Oryza sativa Japonica Group: one gene and its partners. The main gene of each other region encodes a partner of the protein of the gene in region 6 in a complex. Links are inferred from orthologs where the notes say so. Each region holds a gene or a part of one and is shown on either strand. Other genes may lie near its edges.

Evidence for each region.
Region 1: mediator of RNA polymerase II transcription subunit 4 (region 6) and mediator of RNA polymerase II transcription subunit 33A share a complex: the UniProt entries of both Arabidopsis thaliana proteins name them as parts of the mediator complex. The link is inferred for Oryza sativa Japonica Group from reciprocal best matches to the Arabidopsis thaliana genes AT5G02850 and RFR1.
Region 2: mediator of RNA polymerase II transcription subunit 4 (region 6) and mediator of RNA polymerase II transcription subunit 27 share a complex: the UniProt entries of both Arabidopsis thaliana proteins name them as parts of the mediator complex. The link is inferred for Oryza sativa Japonica Group from reciprocal best matches to the Arabidopsis thaliana genes AT5G02850 and AT3G09180.
Region 3: mediator of RNA polymerase II transcription subunit 4 (region 6) and mediator of RNA polymerase II transcription subunit 16 share a complex: the UniProt entries of both Arabidopsis thaliana proteins name them as parts of the mediator complex. The link is inferred for Oryza sativa Japonica Group from reciprocal best matches to the Arabidopsis thaliana genes AT5G02850 and SFR6.
Region 4: mediator of RNA polymerase II transcription subunit 4 (region 6) and mediator of RNA polymerase II transcription subunit 32 share a complex: the UniProt entries of both Arabidopsis thaliana proteins name them as parts of the mediator complex. The link is inferred for Oryza sativa Japonica Group from reciprocal best matches to the Arabidopsis thaliana genes AT5G02850 and MED32.
Region 5: mediator of RNA polymerase II transcription subunit 4 (region 6) and mediator of RNA polymerase II transcription subunit 13 share a complex: the UniProt entries of both Arabidopsis thaliana proteins name them as parts of the mediator complex. The link is inferred for Oryza sativa Japonica Group from reciprocal best matches to the Arabidopsis thaliana genes AT5G02850 and GCT.
Region 7: mediator of RNA polymerase II transcription subunit 4 (region 6) and mediator of RNA polymerase II transcription subunit 8 share a complex: the UniProt entries of both Arabidopsis thaliana proteins name them as parts of the mediator complex. The link is inferred for Oryza sativa Japonica Group from reciprocal best matches to the Arabidopsis thaliana genes AT5G02850 and MED8.

Annotation. Positions count from the first base shown.
Region 1 is NC_089041.1:6,111,050-6,115,348, reverse strand, and holds the start of mediator of RNA polymerase II transcription subunit 33A, read right to left. Parts: upstream 2,801-4,299; 5' UTR 2,678-2,800; coding exon 2,403-2,677; intron 1,748-2,402; coding exon 1,637-1,747; intron 1,101-1,636; coding exon 756-1,100; intron 6-755; coding exon 1-5. UniProt on the Arabidopsis thaliana protein: Component of the Mediator complex, a coactivator involved in the regulated transcription of nearly all RNA polymerase II-dependent genes.
Region 2 is NC_089035.1:8,936,521-8,940,751, reverse strand, and holds the start of mediator of RNA polymerase II transcription subunit 27, read right to left. Parts: upstream 2,801-4,231; 5' UTR 2,776-2,800; coding exon 2,447-2,775; intron 674-2,446; coding exon 512-673; intron 1-511. Other genes in the region: pentatricopeptide repeat-containing protein At5g57250, mitochondrial, read left to right, coding at 2,993-4,231. UniProt on the Arabidopsis thaliana protein: Component of the Mediator complex, a coactivator involved in the regulated transcription of nearly all RNA polymerase II-dependent genes.
Region 3 is NC_089044.1:19,707,083-19,711,285, reverse strand, and holds the start of mediator of RNA polymerase II transcription subunit 16, read right to left. Parts: upstream 2,801-4,203; 5' UTR 2,543-2,800; coding exon 2,118-2,542; intron 1,432-2,117; coding exon 1,363-1,431; intron 1,181-1,362; coding exon 1,092-1,180; intron 922-1,091; coding exon 809-921; intron 625-808; coding exon 523-624; intron 72-522; coding exon 1-71. UniProt on the Arabidopsis thaliana protein: Component of the Mediator complex, a coactivator involved in the regulated transcription of nearly all RNA polymerase II-dependent genes.
Region 4 is NC_089044.1:22,150,995-22,153,489, forward strand, and holds mediator of RNA polymerase II transcription subunit 32, read left to right. Parts: upstream 1-1,269; 5' UTR 1,270-1,359; coding exon 1,360-1,842; 3' UTR 1,843-1,995; downstream 1,996-2,495. Other genes in the region: U-box domain-containing protein 70-like, read right to left, coding at 118-280. UniProt on the Arabidopsis thaliana protein: Component of the Mediator complex, a coactivator involved in the regulated transcription of nearly all RNA polymerase II-dependent genes.
Region 5 is NC_089039.1:22,060,902-22,064,401, forward strand, and holds part of mediator of RNA polymerase II transcription subunit 13, read right to left. Parts: intron 3,407-3,500; coding exon 3,175-3,406; intron 2,281-3,174; coding exon 2,074-2,280; intron 915-2,073; coding exon 1-914. UniProt on the Arabidopsis thaliana protein: Component of the Mediator complex, a coactivator involved in the regulated transcription of nearly all RNA polymerase II-dependent genes.
Region 6 is NC_089043.1:25,716,283-25,719,680, forward strand, and holds mediator of RNA polymerase II transcription subunit 4, read right to left. Parts: upstream 2,142-3,398; 5' UTR 2,067-2,141; coding exon 822-2,066; 3' UTR 501-821; downstream 1-500. Other genes in the region: histone-binding protein MSI1 homolog, read left to right, coding at 2,319-2,942. UniProt on the Arabidopsis thaliana protein: Component of the Mediator complex, a coactivator involved in the regulated transcription of nearly all RNA polymerase II-dependent genes.
Region 7 is NC_089037.1:18,123,815-18,127,873, reverse strand, and holds the start of mediator of RNA polymerase II transcription subunit 8, read right to left. Parts: upstream 2,801-4,059; 5' UTR 2,629-2,800; coding exon 2,405-2,628; intron 2,282-2,404; coding exon 2,157-2,281; intron 1,380-2,156; coding exon 1,255-1,379; intron 1,150-1,254; coding exon 966-1,149; intron 831-965; coding exon 723-830; intron 510-722; coding exon 442-509; intron 122-441; coding exon 1-121. UniProt on the Arabidopsis thaliana protein: Component of the Mediator complex, a coactivator involved in the regulated transcription of nearly all RNA polymerase II-dependent genes.

The DNA of each region.
Region 1 (4,299 bases), on a different chromosome or scaffold from region 6:
ATTGCCTGAATCATCAAGACTCGTTAGTACTGGTGGTAATAATAACAAATTAAAGTAGCATACTTTTTCAAAAAAATAAAAAATAAAAACAGTAAGTGAATTCAGTTGTGGTGTCTTAAGGATGCCCTTGATCCCCACTTTGGAAGTTTAAACGAATGCCTTCTACCAATGTACTGTTATCCCAATAGTTCATTTGTGTACGATTCTAGTACAGTTATGAACACAAACAGCAATATCAGACAATATTGGCATGAGTATATCAGAGCTTGTCCCCCATGGCCAGAGTTTCTATGATTCTATCAGTGATCCTTCTTGGTTATAAAGTAGTAGAGAAAATCATTTGAACATTACAGTTGCAACCAATCAAGCTTGCTTGTTCATACAACCAGTAGTCCTTCTAGAGTACTATTAGTTCACATTTTAGCATTGCGGTCGACAGTTGTTTTATAAAAGTGTACAGCCATTCCATAAATACAATGAATCTGATATATTCCAGAAAAATATTGGCAATACCCTGTATACTCAGAAGACACAGAAGCTTGACTTGAGAACCTTAAGCCAATAGAGAGAATGTTTTCAATTATATGGTGCATATGGAACACAGAGATATTTAAGCCATACATTAACTCACTAAAATAAAATTAAGTTGCTATCAATTGATATAATAACAAAGGGATAAATTCACTGTTTTTAGTGATAGGAAGAAAGAGCTGGAATAACTCAGTAAAGCAGTACATGAAGTTGAAAAGCCATACATGTTTTCGCGTGCCAATGAGAGGATATGAGTAATTACTTTGTCATGAAGAAGATGCCCAATGAGCTCTATAGTTATCACATTATTCATCTTCTGTAACTTGTCAATTTTGTCTATTCTTTGTTCAGAGAAAGTTCCATCAAATGCACTCACATCATCTGATCTAGTTGGCCAATGAGCTTTCTTATCCGGTATCAACTCTAACAGGCCTTCGTCATCTAATGCAGCATCAACCAACTGCCATAACATGCAAAGGGTAAATTCAACAACAAAAACCCCTGGTTCGCATGTTGAAAAGCCAAATATCTTTGAGAGACCAAGGTTATCATCTATTAATTGCATGATCCTGCGGAAATATGAGAAGGTGTCATGAAACTTTGCATTTAGAAGACAACTAAAGGAATGATAAGTTGCAGACAGAATGACAGATACCTACACAAGGCATAAACATAGGATGCTAACAGAACAGACATGTCACAAGAAACAAACTCTTTAAAAACTAACATGAAAGAACTATATGCGAGTTGAAAACATATAAAGTGACACCTTAACCAATTCAACCGAAAATATTATGTATCACTGCAGAACTGGCCCTTTCAACCAGGTGAAATTCTTCCTTTGCAAATTGTTGCTCTTTGGAACAGATCTTGATATGTCCAGTATGCAGATGCAATAAGGTGGTCTAGATGTATTGTGGTAGACACCCAAAACTCTAATTGTCAGCATATCGTATTAAAATTCCCGTCTTATATAATTCTTTTGAACAGTACTGAATCGTTCAGAATGATGTACATGTTCCTGTGATGTATATTTCGAAACCTCTGAACATAGAATGCGTGCATTATGAAACTACTGGGAACACCTCATAGAAGGAAACCTCACTTTTTGAAATTCGCCGCTTTCATCTGAAAAGCAAAATTGAATCCATGTCTCCGCAAGAGCTCCAGATAAAGTCTATATGCAGTTGGCCTTGTGAACCGGTGAGGAATGACCCTGAATGGAGAGAAACCATCAACGGAATATTTGCAATCAGTCTTATATTCTATTTTATAGAACATTCCACAGCAGCATAGCAGATATTGAAAATGTGCACGGATTTCGCCAGTTGGTTATACGATTACTGCTGAAAAGCACATTTCAAACTGCACTTGTTATTCCAACTAGCATGATCTAGACTCTAGAGAGAAGAAAAAAAGTGAAAAAAATGAAACAGAGTATTCTGCTGCTATACATGTATTAAATTGATCTGCATTACACTGCACACTCGAGTACTCTACATACACTGCCATTCATATACTTCTCAAATTTATGGGTATTACGCACAGTAAGCACGCCACCATCCCTTTTCCTTCTCAAATTTACAGGGCCCAAAACATCAGATTGTTTATGATCATGTACAGGCCACGCTGTAGAACAACTTGCATTTGTGGTAATCTGGTTGCGAGGGAAATCTCATAGATCGAAACTAGTAGCCTGATCCGATCGCGATTGCGCGGATTCCATCAGACAGTACACCCCACGTGAGCAGGAGCCCATGTCAGATACCACGCACGCAAATTCGTCTCTCCCCGCGCGCGCGCACAAACGCCACTGCGCGCGCGTGGGGGGAGGGCAATGGATGGGAGCGGGGGCGCCGCGCCGTCCGTACCTGGTGGAGAGGATCGCGAGGAGCAGCGCCGGCGACGCGAGGCCCGCGGCGAGCGCTGCCTCGGCGTACTTCCACGCCGCGCCGCCACCGCCATACAGCAGCGCGCGGGCGAGCATCTCGGCGAGCCCGGGCGACCACGGCGCGTCCCCGGCGGCGGCGACGACGGAGGCCACCCGCGCGGCCCACTCCGCGGGCGGGCGCGACTCCGCCTGGGCCGCCTTGGTGTACTCCGCGGCCCAGTCCACCCACGCCGCCGCCGCCGAGGGCGCCGCCATGCTGGACTACTCGCCGCCGCGTGCCGTGGCCAGCCTTCCTCGCCGTCGCCGTCGTCGTCGCCGCAGGCGTCGCGGGGGTGGGGAGTGGAGTGGGAGGGACGAAGCGTGGGATGTTTGTTTGGTGGGAAGGAGGAAGAGAGAGAGAGAGAGAGAGAGATGGTGGTGGTGGTGCGCGTTGGTGTAACCACTTCGCCCACTGCATCACCACCAGGCACCAACACGAGGTGGTCCCAGCCCGCCGGATCCTCTGCTCCGCCTCACCCACCTCATCTATCTTGTGTGCGTGTAGGCGTGTAGCCATACCTATTCTAATTCAAGGAATAAGAGGAGCCTACGCGTCGGGCGACCGATGGGTTTGGAGAAAAATCGGACGCTGACATCAGTATGACGCATGCGTGCAAAACTACTTTAAACTAATTTTTCTCTTAAATTATTTATCCAAATCATGATTTCACCATTAAATTCGTTGCAATTAAATCTTCAAAACAAGATCACACACATAGATATATTCCGATGAAAAAAAATTTAGCTTATTATTGAATTATTTTAAAATGTTGCACGATATTCTACCAAGTATATCGGAATTTTTTCACTAAGAGATCGAAAATGTTTCAATAGTTTAAGTCGGGCGTTGTTTCACCTTATATAAAAATAATGTTTCAGCAAATAGTGAAAGAATGTTTCAGTTCACTGCGACATTAGATCTATACACAGTGGAATATTGTGGGTATAAAAGGTAAAACATTCTTCGTGGAAAAAAATGAAATGTATTCCCTTAATAGAGTGTTTCCAAAATATATAGGTGATTTGTTGCAATGGAGTATGTGATAGAGATAAGTGGCAGGTGGGGGTAGAGACGTGGTGGGGCCCAGGGCAGTGCGCGTCGTGGGAGGAGGGAGCGCCCGATTTTTCTCCCTCCCCTGAGCGACCGATTCCTAGCATTCCCCTAAGGAATATCAAAGTCGTGTTCTTTTAGGATGTGTTCGGTATCTCTGATTCCCAACCGGAACAGTACGCACAGAAAACAGAGCAGTCCATTAGCGCGTGATTAATTAAGTATTAGCTTTTTTTCAAAAATAGATTAATTTATTTTTTAAGTAACTTTTATATAGAAACTTTTTTTAAAAAATACACCGTTTAGAAGTTTGAAAAGCGTGCGCACGGAACACGAGGTAGAGGGGTTGGGAACTCTGAACAAAGAACACAGCAAGCTTTTCCAACTTATACCCTATCATTTTCCATGTGTATACTTTTAGCTAATACTTAATTAATCATGTGTAAATCTACCACTCCATTTAGCGTGTTCGATGAAAGGTTCCCAACCCAGATAAACGAATCAAGCCTAAGCAACCGTTGAGTAGCTACTAGCAGTACCTCATGAAAACATGTAAAATGTAGTTTTCCTGTACTTCTATTTAATTTCTTATTTATTTTCTATATTCTACAACTATATATTATTAAAATTTAACTATGAATTTAGATCAAGCTGCAGTTGATATAAACTCCTCTAGTCCTCTGAAGAGAACCTTTGTCAGATGCGGTCACAGTAAGTGATACTAGAGTAGGTTGTTTACTATTGATATATTCCGCATGTTTAGGATGAATTATTTAGCGGTTGCTAA
Region 2 (4,231 bases), on a different chromosome or scaffold from region 6:
GGGATGATCCGAAGGCTTGAAGCCTTCAACATAAGTACATACATCTAAAGAAGCACATGAATGAAGGGCGTTGGAATATTTCCGATGCATTCTGTGTAAAATCAAAATAAAATATGGATGCAACGAAAACAAGAACTGATCTAATACTTCAATTCCTACAAAAGCACTCCACACCTTGGAAGAATGTAATTATCATAGTAGAAGGATTAGAGAAAGCAAAGTGCAAAAGAAGAAACAAAAGAGGGAAAAAGGAGAAATAAGGGAAAAAGGGGAAAGAGGGAAACAACAGTACAAATTTAAAGGGGAAAGAGGGAAACAACAGTACAAATTTATCGGCCAAGAAAATTATCGTATATCGCAGGAAGAAATAACATGGTATAAATATTTAATCTGCATTCTGCAATGCACGGTTGATGAAATCTCACACATCAACAGAATATAAATAAGACAAATAAGCACATCATATTGTGGCAGCAAACATACAACACAACAATGATGGTAATGAAATTACCTAGTTCTGTCAACAGCTGATGCACCAGCCTGACCAGCCAGCTGACGCTTCCAAGCATATGCCACAACTGCACCATCTGGACAAACAAGTGGCATGTGCAAGCCCCATGAATTGCCTCTGGCTTTAAGGGCTCCATTTAGAACTCCAGACTCTTCCAATTGCCTTCCTAACAGCAATGGATACAAGATATTTATTAGGCTACAGTTTAAAAACTAGATCTTTACTTTCAGTTGGCTAGGCCAACACTTATGAAGAAATAGTGGAACTTGAAACTTGAAGTTCAATAAAAATAATTGGAACTTACCAGGAGAACTGTGTAAGCAATGATTGATGGTTCATCACAAAGTAAAAACATCATGAATAGCAACAAGCACAACTAACCCAAACACTATAACAAGAATACTGTGAAAGAACAATAAGAAAGCACCAGCAAAATCGAGTGAATCCATCCTGTTCACATACCTAACTTTATTGAAGATGGCTCCTAATATCCTTTGACTTAAAAAAATCTCAGTCACATGGCTTAAGCTTATCTAGTACTCCTAACTTCAGGATTTTCACAAACTAACTATTCTGTCTAAAATCATAACTATATCACCTGCAAATTTCATCTTCCGTTTATCTAGCAACTTCAGGTTGCAGAAAGACTCAAAAACCATCGTTTAACAAGCAGTTCATATTGCTTGGACATTTTATTCATCAGACAGAATAGTACCATGTTGCCATGAAACATGGATTTTCCAAATGCCTGCAGACTTCTTCAACAAACGACTGGTCAAGTGGTCACATGTAAACAATTGTACCCAACACATAACTGCTCTGCTGAGACAATATTATAGAGTGAGCACCTACCCTACATCCTTACCATCCACGAGTGATACTAAAACTAGTTCGAGCCCTGAGTGGCACTAAGGTGGTGTTTGGATCCAGGGACTAAATTTTAGTCCCTGTCACATCGCATGTTTGGATACTAATTAGAAGTATTTAACGTAGACTAATAATAAAATTAATTGCATAAATGAGAGCTAATTCGCGAGACAATTTTTTTAAACCTAATTAATCCATAATTAGCACATGTGTACTGTAGCATCACATAGGCTAATCATGGATTAATTAGGCTCAATAGATTTGTCTCGCGAATTAATTCAAGGTTATGAAATGGATTTTTTCATTAATCTACGTTTAATACTTCTAATTAGTGTTAAACATCTGATGTGACCGGGACTAAAATTTTAGTCCCTGATCCAAACAGCCCCAAAACAAGTTCAAGCTGAAGCTGTTCAATTAAGGTTAAATATTGCTCTATTACAAGCCAAGGAACACGAGTTCCAGAAATGCATCCCAATCTGATAGACCCAGGCACCCAGCCAATATTCTAGAATGCTAAAGTTCATATACCAAAGTTGAGCAGTTAAGCCTGTCCGTGCATCTCTCGTAGCAAGGTTTCATAGGTAGAAGGGTTTCACAAGATACAAGCAATTGGATAACACCAAAGAAGAGTGTGGCATCAGTTTATGGTGATTAACCATTATTACAGAACAATTTAGTGGAAAAAAAATGTGCTGCCATGCCTAAACTGGGAAGGAGATTATTACTTTAAAAAAAGTCCAATCATACAATCCAAAGAAGTTAAATCAATATCCCAGCCACCAATTTCCAGAAATTATCTAGACAAGGGTTTTCCTTTTTCTTCTTGAGACTGCAACCGTGGTATCATGACGGGAATATTTCTTTTTCATTTTGAGACTGCAACCGTGGTATCATGACGGGAATGTTCCTTTTTCATTTTGAGACTGCAACCGTGGAATCATGACGGGAATGGTTCTTCTCGGAGGGAATTAGTTGTATTTTGCGACGTAACAGTCAAAGGTTAAGGAATCGATGAAAAACTTCTGAATCGGAGAGTGTGGGGGCACGGGGCGGAGATGGGTTTACCTCCCGAGCGCGCGGAGGTCGTCGAAGTGGCGGTGCATGGCGGCCTCCTCCTGGGCGACGGCGAGCGCGGTCTTCTCAACGTGCTGCGGGGCGCTGTGCGGGGGCGCGTCGCCGGCGACGAAGAGCGCCTCGAGCAGACGGTCCGCGCCCAGCCGGATGTCCGCGATGAGCCGCCCCGCCCGCCCCAGCCGCTCCATCGCCTGCGCCACCTGCTTCGGCGGCGCGTCACCCCTCGCCCCCTCGTGCTGGTGCCCCGTCGCCCCCGCCGCCGCCGCCGCCGCCGCCGCCACCGGCGCGGCCACCACCGCCGACGCCTGCGCTTGCTGCATCTTCCTCTTCTCCCCTTCTCGCTTCCGACTCGAAACGCCTCACCTAAATAAGCCCATATCCAAACAGGCCCAGAACCAATACAAGCCCATATCTATTCAGGCCCAGATCCAAACAAGCTCGTATCCAAATTCGGCCCACGCCATCGGCTTCCAACGTTTCGAACGTTTGCGCTTCGCTTCCCACGCGGCGGCGGCGCCACCACCACCACCCTCCGCCATGCCGCTCGCCGGCGGCGAGCCCCGACCACCACCGCCGCTCCCGTCGCTGGTCAAGCTCGGAAGGGCCGTCACGCCGCGCCGCGTGGACATCCTACTGGCGGCGCTCCTCCGCCGGCGGAGGCACCGCCTCGTCGGCGCGCTCGCCTCGCAGGCGGTCGCCAACTCCGTGCGCCCCACCGCGCGCACCCACCTCCTGGTCGCCTCGGCGCTTCTAGATTCTTCCCGTCCGCGCGACGCGGCAGCGCGCCTCGCGCTCGCCGGCCCGGCAACCTCCTCCGCGCGCCGCCTCTGGGACGCGCTGCTCCGCCGGGCCTGCGCGGTGCGCGGCGATGCTCGCCGCGCGCTGGAGGTGCTCTCCGCCGGCGTAGAGGAGTGCGGGCTCGTGTTTTCTCCGTCCACGTATCGTGTGGCCCTGACGATGCTGTGTGCCCGCGGTGACATGGAGACCGCGCTCAAGGTGTTCGACGTAATGGCTGCAGCGGGGTGTCAGGTGGATGATCGTGTTTGCAGCGTGATCATTTCAGGCTTCTCCAAGGTCGGGAAGGCTGGGGATGGGCTGGAATTCTATAGGAGGGTGAGGAGAGAGTTCAATGGATTTGAGCCAGGCTTGATCACATTAACCGCTTTTGTCGATGTGCTTGGCCGTGTAGGGAGAACTACTGAGGCAGCACAATTGGTAAGGGAGATGGAAGGGAAGGGGTTGGTTGGTGATGCTGTTTTATATGGCAGCTTGGTTCATGGATACATGAGTAGCGGGTTATTGATGAAAGGGCTCCGTGAGCATCGGGTGATGTTAGATAAGGGCATTGCAGCTGATGTAGTTAGTTATACTACTGTTATTGATGGACTTTGCAGAGAACGTAGTGTGGAAAAAGTGATGGGATTCTTGGATGAGATGAACCGAAGGGATGCTAAGCCGAATTTGATCACTTATACATCATTGATTGGTGGTTTCTGCAAGAGAAACAGGTTGGATGATGCTTTTTCTATAGTGAGGAAACTGGAACAGACAGGAGTGGTGGTGGATGAATATGTTTACTCAATTTTGATTGACAATTTGTGCAAAAAGGGATATTTGGATAGGGCTTTCTCTTTGCTTGAAGAGATGGATAAAAAGGGGATAAAGATTGGAATCGTAACATACAATTCAGTAATAAATGGTCTATGTAAGGTTGGTCACACCAAGAAGGCTGTTGAAATATATGAAGGTATTGCTGCTGATAACTTCACATATAGC
Region 3 (4,203 bases), on a different chromosome or scaffold from region 6:
TGGGTAAGGAACTTTTCCTCAAAGGTTTTCAAGTTTGATGAAGTACTAGAGTTTGCAGGAAGCCATCTATACTGCAAAGTCAAAGAAACAAAACAAATTTAGCCGTGGCAACAGCTTAGTAATTATATTCCTTCGATTCTAAGATCCACTTATTTCAGGCCAAAAGGGTAATCAAACACAGGTAGTGTCATTTGAAATAGATCAAAGTACTTACTCAGACATAAACTGAGCCAGAATCTTTTTTACCTAATTGTTGCAATTGTTTATGATAAATGTCCAGTGAAAAAATCTTAGAACAGTTTAAACTCAAGTCTATTGTCACTGCTTTATAAAATATTATATTTTAAAAAAATAATGATTAACAATTGACACTGAAAAGTATATAAATCTCGAATGTTAAATTGTGAAGCGGACTGTATAAACTGCTGGGTCAATCGTATTGCATATTTGCATTCCAAGTGTAAAGTGCTAATTATCAAAAACAAGAGAAGCAGACTGTAAGTTTGCAAATTGGCAACAAACCGGAGAAATTCCTGACAACCACTTAGTCACCACCGAAAGATCTTGACGCCATTCGTGTTCACATTGCCAGGAACTGGCATCACGTACAAGATTAGTAGGACCCTTCACCATATCAAGAAAGAAACAAGTATTAGAGAAAAAACACAAAACAGCATGATATGTATATAGACTTGAAATGAAAAAAGAAAATCCTGAGTGTTTCGCAAATTAACAAAGTAAGTTCAATGGTACTACTAACAAAAAAAAATGATATGCATACCGAAATTTGCTTAAGGTAGAGATGTACCTTAGTTGGCTGTGTCCATATAGTAATCCTTCCATGAAAATTTGCCACCAGTAATGCACGAGGGCATGATCGAGGAGACCATTCAATGAATTGAACAAAGTCGCGTGGAGAATCTGTTCAAAATTACAGTGAGTTAGGATTGGAGGTAGAAAAACTCGTATATAAACAAAAGTGAGTTTGAATCTCACCCTTCACCTGACTATAAAATGCCCAATGGACAGTGATTTGCACATGCATAACGTAATCACATTACCAAAACAATTGAGATTTAGCCATGGATTACCTGCTTTCACATTGAAAACAGAACATTCTGTTGGTCTCTCTGGATTTAGAATGTGTATGGGAATCCAAAATGGTGGGCTTGAATTAGAGCTGAAAATATACATTAGATCGTTTTACGGCAAAGAAACCTTCATAACCAGAAACTGTAAGCAAACAATTCTACCAAATGGTTGAATATCCCACTAAGACAAGCTAACAGAACAAACTTATTTATGGATAACTAAAGGTCAGAGGAAAGTAAATTTTCAGGGAAAGGATGGAAAAATGTATACCTTGGTATGCGTGCACAAGTCTCTGATGCGCATGCAATTGCATTGAGCTTCCCGCACCAAGCAACTGCACTGCAATAAAAAAAAAACCATAGATAAGATAGTTACTAGTTGTTCCCGATATAGTGTAGGCTAAAGCAGACAAGGCAACCTCATCCTACAAGATCAAAGCAGTTTTAAACAAAAAAAAATAATGTGGATTTTAAAAATGGAGTTATCACGTTCGGTATTTTCTAACTGGTGAACAAAGTAACCAGTTTGACCTGACTAAACTTAGTTATGTGAAATAATGACACTACATGTTATAACTGTATTTGATCTAGTATAGTAGAAGCCTGCACAGGATACAATCATTCAAAGCAATCACAATTCCATGCCCACGCTAATGCTTCTGCAAGTTTGAGTCACTAGATTGTTCATCCCAATCATTGAAACGCCACCCAAATTTGAAGAGGAAAAAAAAAGTAAACCCAGATCGTTTGATTTAGATTATTGAGTGGATTATTGTCATGGATATATTATAGGGATAAATTAGATATTTTGAGAGACAAACTTAACAAATAGCTTAAAACAAGTGGTCTAAGCAATACAGTAGAGGAAAATTTCTTTCGGGGGGAAAAAAACCATTTCAATAAATCGATGAATAAGCTGAAACAGATCAGGGTTTAAATTCATCACACCTAAGCTTCCCCCAACATATTTAAATCCCAGAAAGAAAAAACACCCCCAAAAAAACCACAACTAATCTCGAAACGCACCTGAAGTTCCTGCAGAGCTCGGGCACGCGCATCTTGTGGCGGAGGCTCGAGGGCGGCTGCTTGAGCCGGATCCGGAACACGGTCGCCGGCGACGCCTGCTGCCCACCTCCACCTCCACCTCCTCCTCCCCCCGCACCACCACCACCCCCACCCCCCTCCACATCCCCAACCCCCCCACCACCACCTCCCGCGCCACCATCCACCTCCATGGCCTCGCCTCCCCCTACGCCCACCTCCTCCACTCCACCCCCATCCCCCACTCCTCCTCCACCCCCCTGGCCCTCCTGCTGCTGATCCTTGGGCGGCGGCGTCGGCGAGGAGACGGGCACGGCTCCGGCGGCGGCGGCGGCGGCGTTGGCGGTGGGGGGAGAGGGGGTGGGGGTGGGGACGAGGGGGCTAGGGTTTGGGGCGGAGGAAGAGGTCATAAGGGGCGGAGGAGACAAAAAGGCGAAGGGGAGGGAAGCGCGCGCGAGGGGGGGAGGGGGAGGCTTAGGTCACTGGAAGCGACCGCCCGTTGCTGTCGCGGGGGGAGGGTTTCCTCCCCTCCTCGCTTTGCTGCTGCCTCCTGCGTGTGCGCTGCGGCGGCGTCGCTTTCAGGTTGGGTGGGGAATGGGATGCGGCCGTGGAAAGGGGAGACGACGACGACGAACGACGATGACGATGACGACGACGGGGAGAGAGTCAGAGGGAGGGGGGGAGGGGAAACGAGTGGGTTTGGTCTTTTGGTGGCGTTTCGGGAGTGGTGAGCTCTGGGTATGTACGAATTCCGTTGAATTTTGGATCGAAATTGCTAGAAAACTTTTGCAAGTTCCGTGGAGTTTAGTTCCAAACTTTTTTAAAAAAATTTTTAACTTTCCATCGCATCAAAACTTTCCTACACATACAAACTTCTAACTTTTCTGTCACATCGTTTCAATTTCAACCAAACTTCTAATTTTAGCGTGAACTAAACACACCCTTTTTCTCTCAAAACTTTCAGATTTATGGTCATCGGGTTACTGGAGATTTGTACATTCAAGAGATAACATTGCTACAAAAATATCATACATGTTATGTGCAAGATCTCGGTGCTAGTCAGCCAAACCACGGTTAAATACATGTTTTATATAAGTTATACCGTAGTTACAATACAGTTACAGTACAACTATACTTCAATTATAATATAATTTAATCTCGAAGTTTTACACTTAAAAAATCTACGGCAGTTTTTTACACACTCCAATATTACTCTTGTATAGTACCTAGATGTACTAACTTGTAACGAAATAAAGAGTGTTGTCTGTCTATTTAAAATTGGATACACGAATTTCATTGAAATTGGCATGGAGGCGGGTAATCTTGGTGTTGTGGTCTTGCGGTGGATTGTAACTTGTAAGAAAATGGGGATAGTCGTCTATTTATTTGAAACTGGGTACATAAATTTCGTTAAATTTGGCACCAAGGCAGATAAAATGAGTGAATGTATGCCTTTTTGGGAATTTGAATGAATCTTTCGTCAGATTTATAGTTTGACAATTTCAGTTAAAATTTATCTCCCTCGGTTACAAATTTCATCAATTGTTTATGTATCGAATCTTTAATTAAATTGTATTATTCCATCATTTTACTTTAAATGATATCTCTCTAGGCCACAACTTTCATTACATCATTGTCTCGATTTTTATGTACATATAGAAATTGTAGTGTGCTAGCACATATATGTACATAAAAATTGAGATTATGAACTTGGAGCTAGAAACTTGAAACTTAACCCTTTCAGATTATCATCAGCCGACTAATCACAAGCGTCTTATAAGAATCTTTATAAGAATCTCTAGCTCTCTATTTAGGTTATTATCATTGTTGTCGTGATCGTCGATAGCCCATCCTAACTACGCATGTTTTCTTTGTTTATACAATATAAATATGTTTTTTTTCCAATAGATGCAGCAGAGTCATGACCTATGAAATTGATGATACGGCACGGTAAGATTTTATTCGCAACAAATAAGTCGATAAAACAACAAGCCCATCTTAAAAATAAATCCAAAGAAACCCAACCCAAAAGAAGGGAAGGTCAGGCGATGGGCCCAAACACGAGCCAAAC
Region 4 (2,495 bases), on a different chromosome or scaffold from region 6:
AAAGCCAGAAGCTAAAGATTATGGTACAAACATCATAAGATAGCTATATGACTATATCACCTCCTTTATTGACATCGAGAAAAATAACTTTAGATAAAGCCACTGCACATAACTAACCAAAGTTCGATGTAGTAATTATGTGGATGATGATGATCTCCGTGCTACTGGATGCATGATCGATAACCCAAGACAGTATGGACTTGCCATCGGTGGGTTGCTCAGGGAGAGCAACATAAACCTTGTCTCTAAACAGAGTTTTCTGCCTGAGCATCATACTCATGCATGCAACTGGTAAGGCCTTGAAGATGGAACTAAGAGATACTTCTATCTACCAGTTTGCGTTTCCCACTTTGGACAACTAAAAGAGGGAACACACTGCGTATTAGCATTAAAGAATAAGATTCCAGTTTAACCAGGTAAAAAGGTTGACTCTTGACTGAGACTATCGGAAGACAACGCAACACTCAACTACCAAGTCGCAGTGAATGGATTATCTGAGGAAAGTCATTTGGTACGCTGTCATGCCATGCCAGTACAACACGGCAAAATTTGCTGGGAACAGGGACATGTTATGAATTAATGTAAGACTCTACCTTTCTCACATCCTTCACCCCCATTGCTCACCACAAATTCCCTGCCTTTCATTTCTAATAAAAAAAAGATGTAGTGCATCGATTGTGTGCCAGTGATAGAGCCATCAGTCTATCTGGTGATCTAATCTAAAGATCTCGGCCTCATATTTCAGTTACTCCATATGAACGGGAGAAACAACCTACGGGTAGTGACGATTCAGCAATAATAGCATATGAAATTTGAGGCGAACAAAATTGACAACAAGCAAACATCTCATCATCACCAGTACTGCATATGAAATTAAATCATCGTGGTACAGTCAAATCACCTTTGACGATTGACTAGAAATGGCGAACACCGAATAAATACATCGCGGCGGCGGCGGAATCGCGCAGGGAGACGGCAACATCGGCGCGCGGCGAGGCGGGAGTTGGGGGAAGCCGTCGCCGGCTCACAGGATCCCACCGGGGTCGCCCGCCTCGCCGTCGGCGAGGGGGAAGCCACCGCCGCTCCGGCGAGCGGCGAGGCCCATATTTATCCCTCGAGAAAAACCCTCGCCTCGCGTCCCAGCCCAAGTTTTAACGTGCGGCCCAGTAAGAAGATACAGCACGAGACGGCCCATTTTAAAGTGGGCCGCGAATCTGCGGCCCACGAGGAATTTTTTTTTTTTTGACGCTACTGGTTTGGGAGTTTGACACTGTGACGAGTAGAGGTCAAGTTGGTGGGGAATCTAGGCGGCGGAGGCGGTGGAGCGTGTCGGGGAGAAGCCGCCGGCGGCGAGGGGAGATGGAGGCGACGGTGGACGAGCTGAGCGAGGCGTACCAGGAGTTCGTGGCGGCGGCGGCGGCGGTGGTGGAGGCGCGGGGGCAGTCGGGGGGAGAGAAGAACGCGGCCACGGACGCGGCGCTCGAGGCGTTCAAGCAGCGGTGGGAGCTCTTCCGCGTCGCCTGCGACCACGCGGAGGAGCTCGTCGAGTCGATCCGCCAGCGAATCGGTTCCGAGTGCCTCGTCGACGAGGCCACCGGCGCCTCCTCCTCCTCCTCCGCGGCGCTGGCCGCCCCCGGCATCAAGCCCATCAGCGCCGTCCGCCTCGAGCAGATGAGCAAGGCCGTCCGCTGGCTCGTCATCGAGCTCCAGCACGGCGCCGGAGGTGCCTCCGCCGCGGGTCCCGGCGGCGGGGGCGGCGCCGCGGCTGCGGCTTCCGGCGTTGCGGGGCAGCACGGCCACGGCGGGGTCGACACGCGCTTCCCCGAGGACGGCGCCCAGTAGGTATTTATTTTGCTCAATTATCTTGTACTAGTAGTATTTTCTTCCAAAGAAAACAAATTACTGGTGGTATCTCTGTGTAATCGTCTAAGAATTGAAGCATTAGAGCTTGTGATCGATATTCTAAAAAAAATTGAGCTTGTGATTTTCTCAGCATTGTTACTTTATGCCTACTGATGTTAAAATTTGGGAGAAATTAACCGTTTTCTTAGTGTCGTGGCCAGATCACGCTTAGTAACTGATTTAATTTTGTCCTATTGCTTTTGTTAAGTGACTAATTGTGTAACGGACTTCCTTCCAGTAGGTTTTAGTTCTGATTTGTAGCTCGCTCACATAATGTTCGTGCATCGTACTAAGGTAAGGTAGTAAACCTGAGGTCCCAGGAAAAAATGAACAATTTCATATATACTACTCAACTAGCATATAACTGTATAAGTTCCTTCAACTTTCAAGTACCTACTCTGGATGTTTTGCTAATCTTGCGTCCGCCACAATGTGAATGCTTTTCCTTCTGATTTTTTAATGAACAACATTTTATTGAAGAATAACTAAGCAGCCACAAAAGGCACAATTTGTGATAATAAACTCTGGGAGATTGCTCATGGTTTGTGAAACCCAGTTATACTGGAAAGTGATATTGGTTATTAGCTACTAGT
Region 5 (3,500 bases), on a different chromosome or scaffold from region 6:
GATAGCCTAGCTGGTATATTTTCTTTCCTTTTTATGTCATATTTGGGGACAAGATCTAACTTGTTGCTGACATCTGTATGCACAAGACTGGATAATGCACTTTTTAGCTCAGCAGATGCTTTGCTACTCAAAGACAATAGTGTATGCCTTATTCTACACATGGCAGCCTGGAACTTGATACATTCCATTTCAGTTGCAAGAGCAGTCTTCATAGATAGTAGGAAGTATCCAGCATTAAACATGCTGTCACTCTTCCTTTGAGAAACCACAGAAGAATCAAGTGAAGTCTCACCAGAAATAGGTCTTGATGCTTCCTCCTTGCCTGATTGTATGTCAGTGTTTTTTAATCCTTTGTCACTTTCTTTTTTCCCAACTTGGACAACTGTGTATAAGTTTGATGAACCAATATCACGTGAAAGATTACCAGATGCTAGTCTAACAGACTTCTCAGGCTTGTCTTCTCCAGACTCCATTTGAGAACTTTGTGCAGCATCATATGAATAAACTCTTGAGTTAAAACTAGAACTCCCTGGTTTTATGGATCTGGGCTGGTAAGGATTTGTAAACAACGATGTTGGTGTCTCACCGGTGGAAATTTCAATAGCTGCATACTCGGGTGCATAAGTGAGCAATGCTTCAGCTCTGGTCAGATGACTAGATCTACCAGACGATAACACAACTGATTGGGAGCTTGTAGGCGACGCAATATCTTTCTGAGGCTCTTGAACCTTAGAAACAACATCATGAATAGGTGCTACAGTTTGGTGGTTAAATACCTCCAAAGATGAGAGACCAACTGGAGAAAATCTTTGTTCAGGTATATCCATAGCTGTCGACGGACTATCTGTGAATGTGGCATCCCCACAGTCAGGACCGGGGATCACCAGAGAATGTGATTCAGCAGTACCTGGAGGCTATATAAATTGTAGGTAGGTTAGAACATTGCAATTCTGAGCCACAATGGATGCAACAATCATGTTCTATTTCTGTTCAAGGAAAATGCAATTATTGTGCTCGAAATTGTTTAGATCTGCCGAGCAGAATTTCCTAATATTTTCTGTTCATGAATAGTTTGACAACTGTCTAAATTAGAAGGCAAACAACATGAGGTTGTGCAGTAGAAGAAAATTCCTCCACAGGCTTTAGGCGAAATCGCAAGCAACATGTTTCAAGGCATGTAAGCTGTGAGGAATTCTATAAATGGTCGTTCTTTGCAATTTATACACTTAAAAGGGCAGTAATGAAGCCACCTGTTATAATCTAGACTCTTAAAACAAGCAGTAGAGGCAGTTATAATCTAGACTCTTAAAACAAGCAGTAGTGGTTTTTTGAGTAAATTTCACAAAATCCCGGGTTTGGGAGCATGTGTAACGGAAAACCCCTTATATTGCGATTTGTTTCAAGGAACCCCATGTTTGGAGGCAAAATGTTTCAAGAAACACTACATTTAAACTTATATTGTCTATTTGGCTAATAGATTTATGCATAATAATTGCAAAAAATAGTATGTGATATTTTGTTAATTAAGTATATATGTATTATCCGCATTTTCAACATGTGTTAATTATCAAAAGTATAAACCATTTTGTGTTTATGTAACCGGTTAATCTGTCATCAACAGTGAGGACTGTGTTGAGTATGTGCAATCATTGAGTGCGAGAGTGATGAAGATAAATTAGACATGAGGAAGTGCATTTTGAGCCTACTTATATGTGAATATATATTAAAAATACCATATATAATCATGAAAATGAGTATTTTATATAAATCTGAGTTCCTCAAAACATTTTGCCCCAAAACATGGGTTCCTTGAAACAAATTATAATACTTCGTTATGCATGGTTTTGTGAAAATTGCCCATTTTTGTAAAAAAAAAAAAAAAAAAAGGTTACGCAGCAGCACAAAATGCAACAGTAGGAATTACAAAATATAATCTTAGTTAACAGAATTTGACTACTTCTATACTTGACAGAATATCTCAAAGTAGCATAGATTCACAGTATTATCATTAGTCCGAGTAAATCCTTGGTTGATTGGTAAACTACAGAAAGATCATGGGACATGACAGCATACCTCACCAAAGTCTAACTCCTCTTCTTGAAAGAAGTCACTAAAATCTCCAAACTCTGATATTAGTAAATTGATGTCCATCGCAACCCCCTCCTCATCCCAGCCCCAAGAACATCTACCTTGACCATTTACCCCTTGATTGTTATCCACGGATTCTTTACCAGCACGAGAAGAAACTTCTGGTATTTCAGAACGAGGCCGCTTGGATACCTGGTTTCACAGGTACAGAACATCAAGGTTACAGCAATGCCATTACGTTCATGTAACACGGGCACACGGCACAACAATAGCATGATCGTGTAATACCATTTTCATATTGTTGCACAAAAGTTAAGAATATAAAAGGTGCCAGATGCAGAAAATTCATTCACCAGAGTCTTCATCCACACTTGGCTTGCATGTGGGAAGAAAATATTTGATCTGATAGGTTTAGCATCAATGGGCAAATACATGGACATCCGTGTTTTAAGTGAACATAGGTCTGAGTGGATCGTATTTACTCACAAATTAGACACAAACACTTTTACACGTAAGAAGGTACATCTATAAGCTTCTATGAACTTCATAATGTGTCGTGTCATGTACAAAAGGTCTACTGGCATTTGGTTTATCTATTTCTATCCAGATTTTCATTTCATTTATCCACAATACCAAACCATTTGTTAATTATAGTGATACCATTTACAGGAAAGAAAAGAATATATTAAGTATGTCAGTCCTCTAATTAACATATTACATTAGATTAAAGCCTATTGGGAGATGGCACAAAAAAATGTTTGGGCATCACTAATAGCATACACCATTTCTGTAGACCATAAGAAGGATGTAGCAACACATGGTTGACATGTCTTATGCGTTTCCAAAATAAATATGTTATTTAAGCATACCCTATATTTGCATCTGTGCCTCATTAAAGATGAATCACCAATAAGATCGTAAGAAGGATGGAAGAGTATACATATTATTGTGTTAATAATAGCTTAACTAGTGATTAAAAAAGAAACAGTATTTTAATAGCAAAGTATAAAAAGGCTATAAGGCTATGTGTGAATTAAGGTTCACTTTTTGGGGGGAGGTAAATTAAGAAGGATTGTAACAAAGTACCATCTTGCTACCAGCAATGTTGGATGGCAGATCAGACTGATGGCATGCCATAGAGTCTGCATCAGCTGAAAGGTCACCACCTTCAGCAGCAACTGCATGTTCACTTCCATTGGAAGTGCTACTAACACTACTGATACTACTGGCCATGCTGCTGTAATTGCTGTTCTTCTGTCTCCTTAGTCTTAGAAAATTAGAGTTCACTCCAAGTCCACGAGATGATCCAAGGCAAGAGCTGATACCGAATCACAACACAAGATGGAAAAAAATCATGGACAAAACAAAATTAGCAATCAGGATATATTAAGAACATAAAGGATAGGCATTAA
Region 6 (3,398 bases):
TTGAATTGGGAAAAAAAAGTACATAAAGATGCGATATGCACCAATAAAATTATAAAAGGAGTTACTTCTGATGATGCTTTGGCAGTTCTAACCCATTTGAGTCAATTACTACTTTATCATCTGCAAGATAAGCTCGTGAATGAAAACTAAGACCTATAGTACTAGTATCATGTTTGTAGTAGGAAGATCCCCCATGCTGTGCAATAAGATAGGAAAAATGGTGTGTTCATTTAAGTGCAAACTTACAAGTTGAAACCACTCCCTTCTCATAACTTATATAGCTTGAGTTATAGAACATTCTTGAGTTTTCAGCTACCACTCTTTGGTACAATGGTATAAAGGTTTTCAAACTATATTGCAGCAATAAGAGGTACAGACATAAGGTAAAACAATGAGAAAAATTAAGCAGAGTGCATGAACATGGAAGTCATTACTTGATTGAAAAGCCCATAACCAGCTAGCAAGCCTAGCAAGCAATTATGACTGAAACCTGTAATCTGTGAAGAAGGGCATCAAACATTAAACACACCATGTTCAAGTTTAAATATCCATAAAAGAAGCCATGTTTCTGACGATACAACACCAGCACATCCTGAGGAAATTAGACCATCATGCTTGATTACATATATCGAAGCAAATTGACTAGTGAGATGGTTTAATTAATCAACACATACATGATACGCCACCCAATTCTATTCAATACCAGTATATTGCTGCATGATCTTGAATAATCATGTATGAGAGCTTGCATTATTTGTTCTTACTAGTACATGACCTACAACGGCATGGAAACATGAATCATAAAATAGCTTACCAAGGAACTAATCCTCATCATCTTCTTCAGAGCTCCCGACGTCGCTACTGTACTCATCACTGCTAGAACTATTGTTAATGTCAAGATCAACATGCCGAACCTGTATCGGTTCTTGTGCCTTCGGCACCATTGCTGGCACCACAACCGGCATCTGTTGCACACTGGCCCGTGGCTCCTCACCCTTGACACCAGCCAGAATGCCATCCGGCGGTAGAGTGATCGGGTCCCCGGGTTTCCATCCAGGCGGCGGCAACGGGATTTCGAGAGGCAGCGCCCCGTTCCGCCACCCATGCGGATGCGGCACAGTGATTGGTAGCACAGCTGCCTCCTGGGTTGGTGAAGGCTGAAAAAGCGGAGTGGCATCTCCCTCTGCTGCAGTCCTCTCCTTTGCTTCCTGGGATTTCGGCACTCCAACATCCAAATCCGCAAATTGATACAGCTGCGACATCCTCATCTCATTTTCCTGAGGAGCAGGCGGCAACGCCCCACGCAGAGGCAGCCCAGCACCATGCTCAGGCGGCGCGAAGGTCGTGTAGCTTATGCGGTGGGCGTACGTCAGGACGTCGTCCAGGTTGAGCTTGGAGTGCAGCGACGCGCCAAAGTCGCCGTCTGACACCGGCTCGGGGTCGTCCGCCGCCGCGGCGCCGCGCGGGCGCTTGGGGTCGCGGCGGTAGTCGGCGTAGTCGTCGACGAGGCGGTCGAGCACGTGGTGCGCCTCGCGGAGCTTCTTGGCGAAGGCGAGGATCGAGGCGTCCTTGGCGCGCGCCTCGCGGGCGAGGCGCGCGCGCGCGTCCTGCAGGTCGAGGGTCTCCTGCAGCTCGGCGACGGCCTCGAAGAGCTGGGTCTGGAGCGTGTTGAGCAGCGACAGCGCCTCCTTGGTGGAGGAGATCGGGGCCGGGAGCGGCGGCGGCGGCGCGGAGGACGGCGAGGGGAGGAAAGTGGGGAGTGACCCCCGGTACGCCGAGATCCACGCGGCGCGGCTCGGCGAGAGCTCGAAGAGGTTGGAGGCGAGCGCGGAGATCAGCTGGAGGAGCGCCTGCGCCCGCGGGAGCGGCGGCAGGAGCGGCAGCAGCGACGGCGATGTAGTTAGGGTTGGTGCAGCGGCAGCGGCAGCGCCCACGGCCGCCGCCGCGCTAGGGTTGCCCTGCGGCGGCGAGGAGGTGGGATTCCCCGCAGCCGGGTTGGGCGGGAGCGACGGCGACGAGGCCGTCAGCCCCAGCCGCGCCGGCGAGGGGTGGTGCGACTGCATCATCGCGGCGGCGGCGGCGGCGACTGCGGATGCAGGAGACGGACGCGAGGCAGAAGCTACTAGACAAAATTTCCTCTTAATGGGCTAATGGGCCTCCAAATTGTATTATATGGGCTTTACGGCCCATAAAAGCCCATTAACTCGGCCATAAAACACCATCTCTTCTGACTCCGCCGCATCGTCTCCCCAATCTTTTTGGCGGGAGAGCACCACAGCGCCGCCTCCACTTCCCGCGCAATTCGCAAGAGAAGAGCCATGGACGGCGGGTCCTCCACGGCGGCGAGGTCGTCGGCGGCGGAGATGGAGGAGCACCAGAACTGGAAGAAGAACGCGCCGGTGCTCTACGACCTCGTCATCTCCCAGCCGCTCGAGTGGCCGTCGCTCACCGTCCAGTGGCTCCCCTCCCACTCCCGGTCGCCGGGCTCCGCCCGCTCCCACCGCCTCGTCCTCGGCACCCACACCTCCGACGAGACGCCCAACCACCTCCTACTCGCCGACGCCGCCCTCCCGCTCCCGCCCCGCCTGGCGGCGGCGGCCGCGGCGGCGGGCGGTGCCGTCCCGGCCCCGTCCGTGTCCATCTCCCGCTCGGTGCCGCACAAGGGCGAGGTCAACCGCGCCCGCTGCATGCCGCAGAGGCCGTACACGGTGGCTACCAAGACCTGCGTGGATGAGGTGCACGTGTACCATCTTGGCGACGGCGGCGAGAAGGGCGGCGCCGATGTGGTGCTCAGGGGGCATGAAGCGGAGGGGTATGGGCTGGCGTGGAGTCCGATGAAGGAGGGGTTGCTGCTGAGCGGCTCGTATGATAAGAAGATTTGCCTTTGGGATCTCGCTGCTGGGAGTGGAGCTTCGTCTCTGGATGCACATCATGTGTTCGAGGTAATGCGCCGTCAAATGCCCCCCTCCCCTCATTCCATTTTGCAGTAAACATTTACAGTCGTTAAATGTTACATTATACGATGCAGTTGAGCAATGATTCGTAATTCATAATCCAATTCATTTAGTAAGGATGCTTCGATTGTTTCTTCCCCTTTTTTTTTTCAGTAAACAAATTTTGATCTGCCAGATCTCTTAGTAAACAATATTGAAATAATGAAATTGAACTGTTTCTGGTCTTTCCTAAATGTTGGAAGAGAATCATTATAACTGAAATAACTGCACAATTCCAGAGTAGATAATTGCACTGCGTAGGAGAAAGGACACAGCAATTGAATAACTAGTCGAGAAGAGAACATGGTTCCATTTCCATAGCTGCATTTTAAGCACAAACAATCATCTCTTGGTGTGAGGAACAATTCTATTATGCATAAACAGATCACTGAGTTTTTTTTATGT
Region 7 (4,059 bases), on a different chromosome or scaffold from region 6:
TCCCTGACCTAGGGGAGTTTGCATATGGCATTGGAGGAGTAGATACATTTTCAAAATTAGGCGTTCCTGTAGCTCCAGGTGATGGAGCAGGTCTGCCAAGTAACTGTCCTCCAGACACCTGCTATTAGAATGAAGGCCCAAATTTGAACATCAAGATAGAAACATCAAAGGCCTGCATGAGGTCAGGTTGGTGATTGCTCTTATGAAATGCAATTGTCTTAATAATAGTTCAAGGGAAAGCATTCTAACCAACACTTAATACAGTTGATCATAGAAAGGAATACCAATATACCATTACAAATTATATGGCAAATTGATACACGGGAAACAAAACATCTGCCTTTTGTAACTTTTTTTGCTTTCAGCCCAACTAGCAATAATATGGACATATTCTATTAATTTCGTAATGGTCAAAGCTGTTATTACTGGCACTAGACAAACCTGCATTGGATTTCCCTGGGCGTTGACAACATTAGGTACAAATGTTGAGGTATTTTTGGGGTACACACCTGCAAGTATAGACTCTAGTTATATGCTTTTGTTGAAGCATTGTGTGACATACAGACTGCACAAATGGCAACACTAAGGGTAGCAGCAAGTTATTGATTATTTTTATATAAAAAAACATCTAGAGCAGATGAACAACTCATTGATGCTATAGTTCCAATGCTCAAAACAAGGAGTGAACCATGGAGAATTGTAGGTATGTCACAGAAACAGACCAGAATTATCACCAAAATTATGTGCCCCATCTCCAAAAGGAAGTACGTCCACTAAATGGCTAGGAAGAGATGAATACATCTGCCTTTGGTCTCCCGGTACACGCAATCCTGGATAATCAGACTAAATCATCATGGACTATAAACAATGAAATTGTTACATAAAAGGAGAAGCTTATGCTAAAATTAAATTCAAAGTAATTTTTAAACTGATAGCTATATTAATACACCATTAATGCTTATCACCTTCACCATAATTTACCGCTGCTCTAAGTAGGCCTTCCTGCTCCTGTATCTTTGCAGCCTGTGCCTTGTCCAATGTAGGACCAAGATTTGCCCCCTGACGGGCTCCTAGACCATAATTCTTGCGACTTTCAGCAATTACTTTCTCAGCTGTTTCACATGCACTTCCAATCATATCTATCCTAGTCTGAAAGGAATAGCAGCAAGTCCCATTAAAATTAACAGATAATGAAAAGATCACGCAGGTATAATAAGCTACATAGGTTTGCATTTTCCAGACAGAAATAATCACCTTTAACTTTTCAATTTGTCCAGAAACTGTTAGATTCGTTATTCCAGACAACAAGTTGTCCCTCTTTGTAGCTTCTTCAGCTTCCATCTCAGGTAACAGCTTTGACGACAGCATTACAGGCAGTACTGCAGTACTCACGAATATCAAACAGGACTAACGATGTGGTAAAACTAGAAGCAGATGAACATGGGAACACAAATTGCGATGCATCCCAACCATATACAGCAACCGTGACCAATTAGCATCTTGTTAGGTCATTTTTAGATTCCTATCACACTTATCCCAGAAATAGGAAAGTGTTGACAAAAATGGCTACCCATGCTACATTAGGAATATCTTTACCAATTTACCCTAGGATAAAATTCGTTTAACTAAAGCCAATTAGCCATATCAGCCTGAAGTTTAATCTCAATATTTAAACCAAAGGAATAACTATTGCTAGGAAGTGAGAAAGGTCAACAATTGGTTCTTCATGTGTAAAACAACTCGTAAAAGAAATGACATGTATATATATGAACTACTCATTACCAAATGCAGCATAACCATAATATCTCATATATCCTTGTTGCTCATAACAGAAATCACATAGTATATTTCTTGGTTCTCATAACAGGTGACCTGTCTTCTCATCTGGCTTTGGGCACCATTGAACATGAGAAGACTCTGTTTGGTAAGGTCATGGAATCAAAAGTGGTCTGCTTAGCTGGGTAGCGTGTAACAGCTGCCCAAGGCAATATTTTGTGAAGGTTTGAACTACGCAGAGCAATTCCATTCTACATTATGTTCATGTATTCTTCTTCCCACAAACTTTATGCTTGTGGATCTACCTAACTAGTGTGGTTATTACTGATATAGCGATCGATTGGTGACACAAGAGAAGAGAAGTGGAACAGCAAGCATACTGGCAGCGTTTTCGGCATTAACGTTTCGGGGGTAGACCACAAACACCTTGGACACCTTCTTGATGTCCTCCACGATATTGAAGAGCTCCATGCTCACCATCGAGAATTGCCCAAGCACATCCTGCCTGCCATACACGCACCACGGCACGAATCAGCATTGCATAAACCCTAGAAAGGGGAAGCTGAATCCTCTACAGAGTCCAGCGGGCGATCGGGGGATGGGGGAATGGAGGTGAGGCAAGTACTACCACTTGGGGGAGGCGTTGGGGTTGGCGCGGGCGATGGCGTCGAAGTCCTCGAGGATGCGGGAGATGGCCTTGTACAGGCCCACGGCGCGCGCCCGCATCCCCTCCAGGTTCAGCTGCTGCTGCACCCCGGCGCTGAGCCGCTCCGTCCGTGGCTGCTGGTCCCCTCCTACGGGCGCCGCCGGGTTCGGCGCCCCGGCGGCCGCCCCTAGCGCCGCCGCGTCCATCCGAGCTCGCCGGATCTGCTGCGTGGAGGAGCTCGCGGGAGTTGGGGGGCTTCACAGGAGGCGGAGATGGCTTCACGCCGGCGGCGGAGGCGGCGGAGATGGGCCGTCGGAGTTAGTAGGGCGGCGCCGGAGAATTTGAGTGTTGGAGAGAGGGAGACCGCGAGATGAGGACGGGAGGGGGAGGTGGTTTTTCCCCGTTTTCACGAAAACCGGTAAAATCGGCTCAAAGTTTGTTAAAGAAAAAAAGAAAAGGTTCGCTTTGAATATTTTTTTTCAATAAAAACTTACCAAAGAAAACCGAGCAATTTGTGTTGTCCTGTAAACCATGGGATACGAGCGAAATAGACAACAAGCCTTGTTTAGTATCCGGAATTACTTCATAGTAATAGGATACGTTCCATTTCATGTTATGTTGCTTTATATTGAGACGAATGAAGTAGATTAATTTATATATTTCACGAGGAAATTTTTTGATTTTTTAACCGTTAGATTCGCTCCAATATTCATGTAACTGGGGATGGGAAAAATGAATTTTCTTGGAAGAAACACTTCTGATGCTATGATAGCATGGTTTTTTAATGTAGTTACATATAGTTAATATAATTTTATTATAAGTAGTGAAGTCGTATAAGTTGTAATGGGAAGTACTAAATTTATGACAAACATTACATGATTAGAGTTCATTTTATGACATGTTCTATTTTTTGTCAATTAGCTCCAACATAAACTCATGTTTTGAGCAAACCCCAAACATCAATATTTTGGTCCCATGTTATCTCCTTCTACTATTGCATAGGCCAATTTCATACTACCCCTTATAAGGTTTTAATCCAACCCAGACATAGCGTTGTATGTACTACAAACAACAATAAATTATAGTAGAGTATTCTTGCTTGTGAACACTGAAATCATATCATTTAACTCCTTATATCTTAAATCTCAAGTTTTGTTGCTTTCCATAAAATTGAGGACAATGCTAACAGTAGGAGCTAAGATCATGGTACTATTTGTTACTTTTTTTAAGTAAAATATATGGCCGGTCTCTAAACTTGTGTTGTGCTGTTACTTAGGTTCATGAACTTGAAAATTACACGTTTAGGTCCGTGAACTTGGTTTAGGCTGTGTTTAGATCCAAAGTTTAGATCCAAACTTCAGTCCTTTTCCATCACATCAACTTGTTATACACACACAACTTTTCAGTCACATCATCTCCAATTTCAACCAAAATCCAAACTTTGCGCTGAACTAAACACAGCCTTAATGTATCACCTTGGTCCAAACGTCCTTTGGCTGTGTTTGACCGCCAACGTGGCATGCCACGTAGGCAACACTTTCGCTCTCAGCTCCCTCCGCGTCACAACACGTCGCATATATCTCCTTGTAGCTATATTGTGACACCAGAATCCCAAAAAAGAAATCCTCAAATCGCTT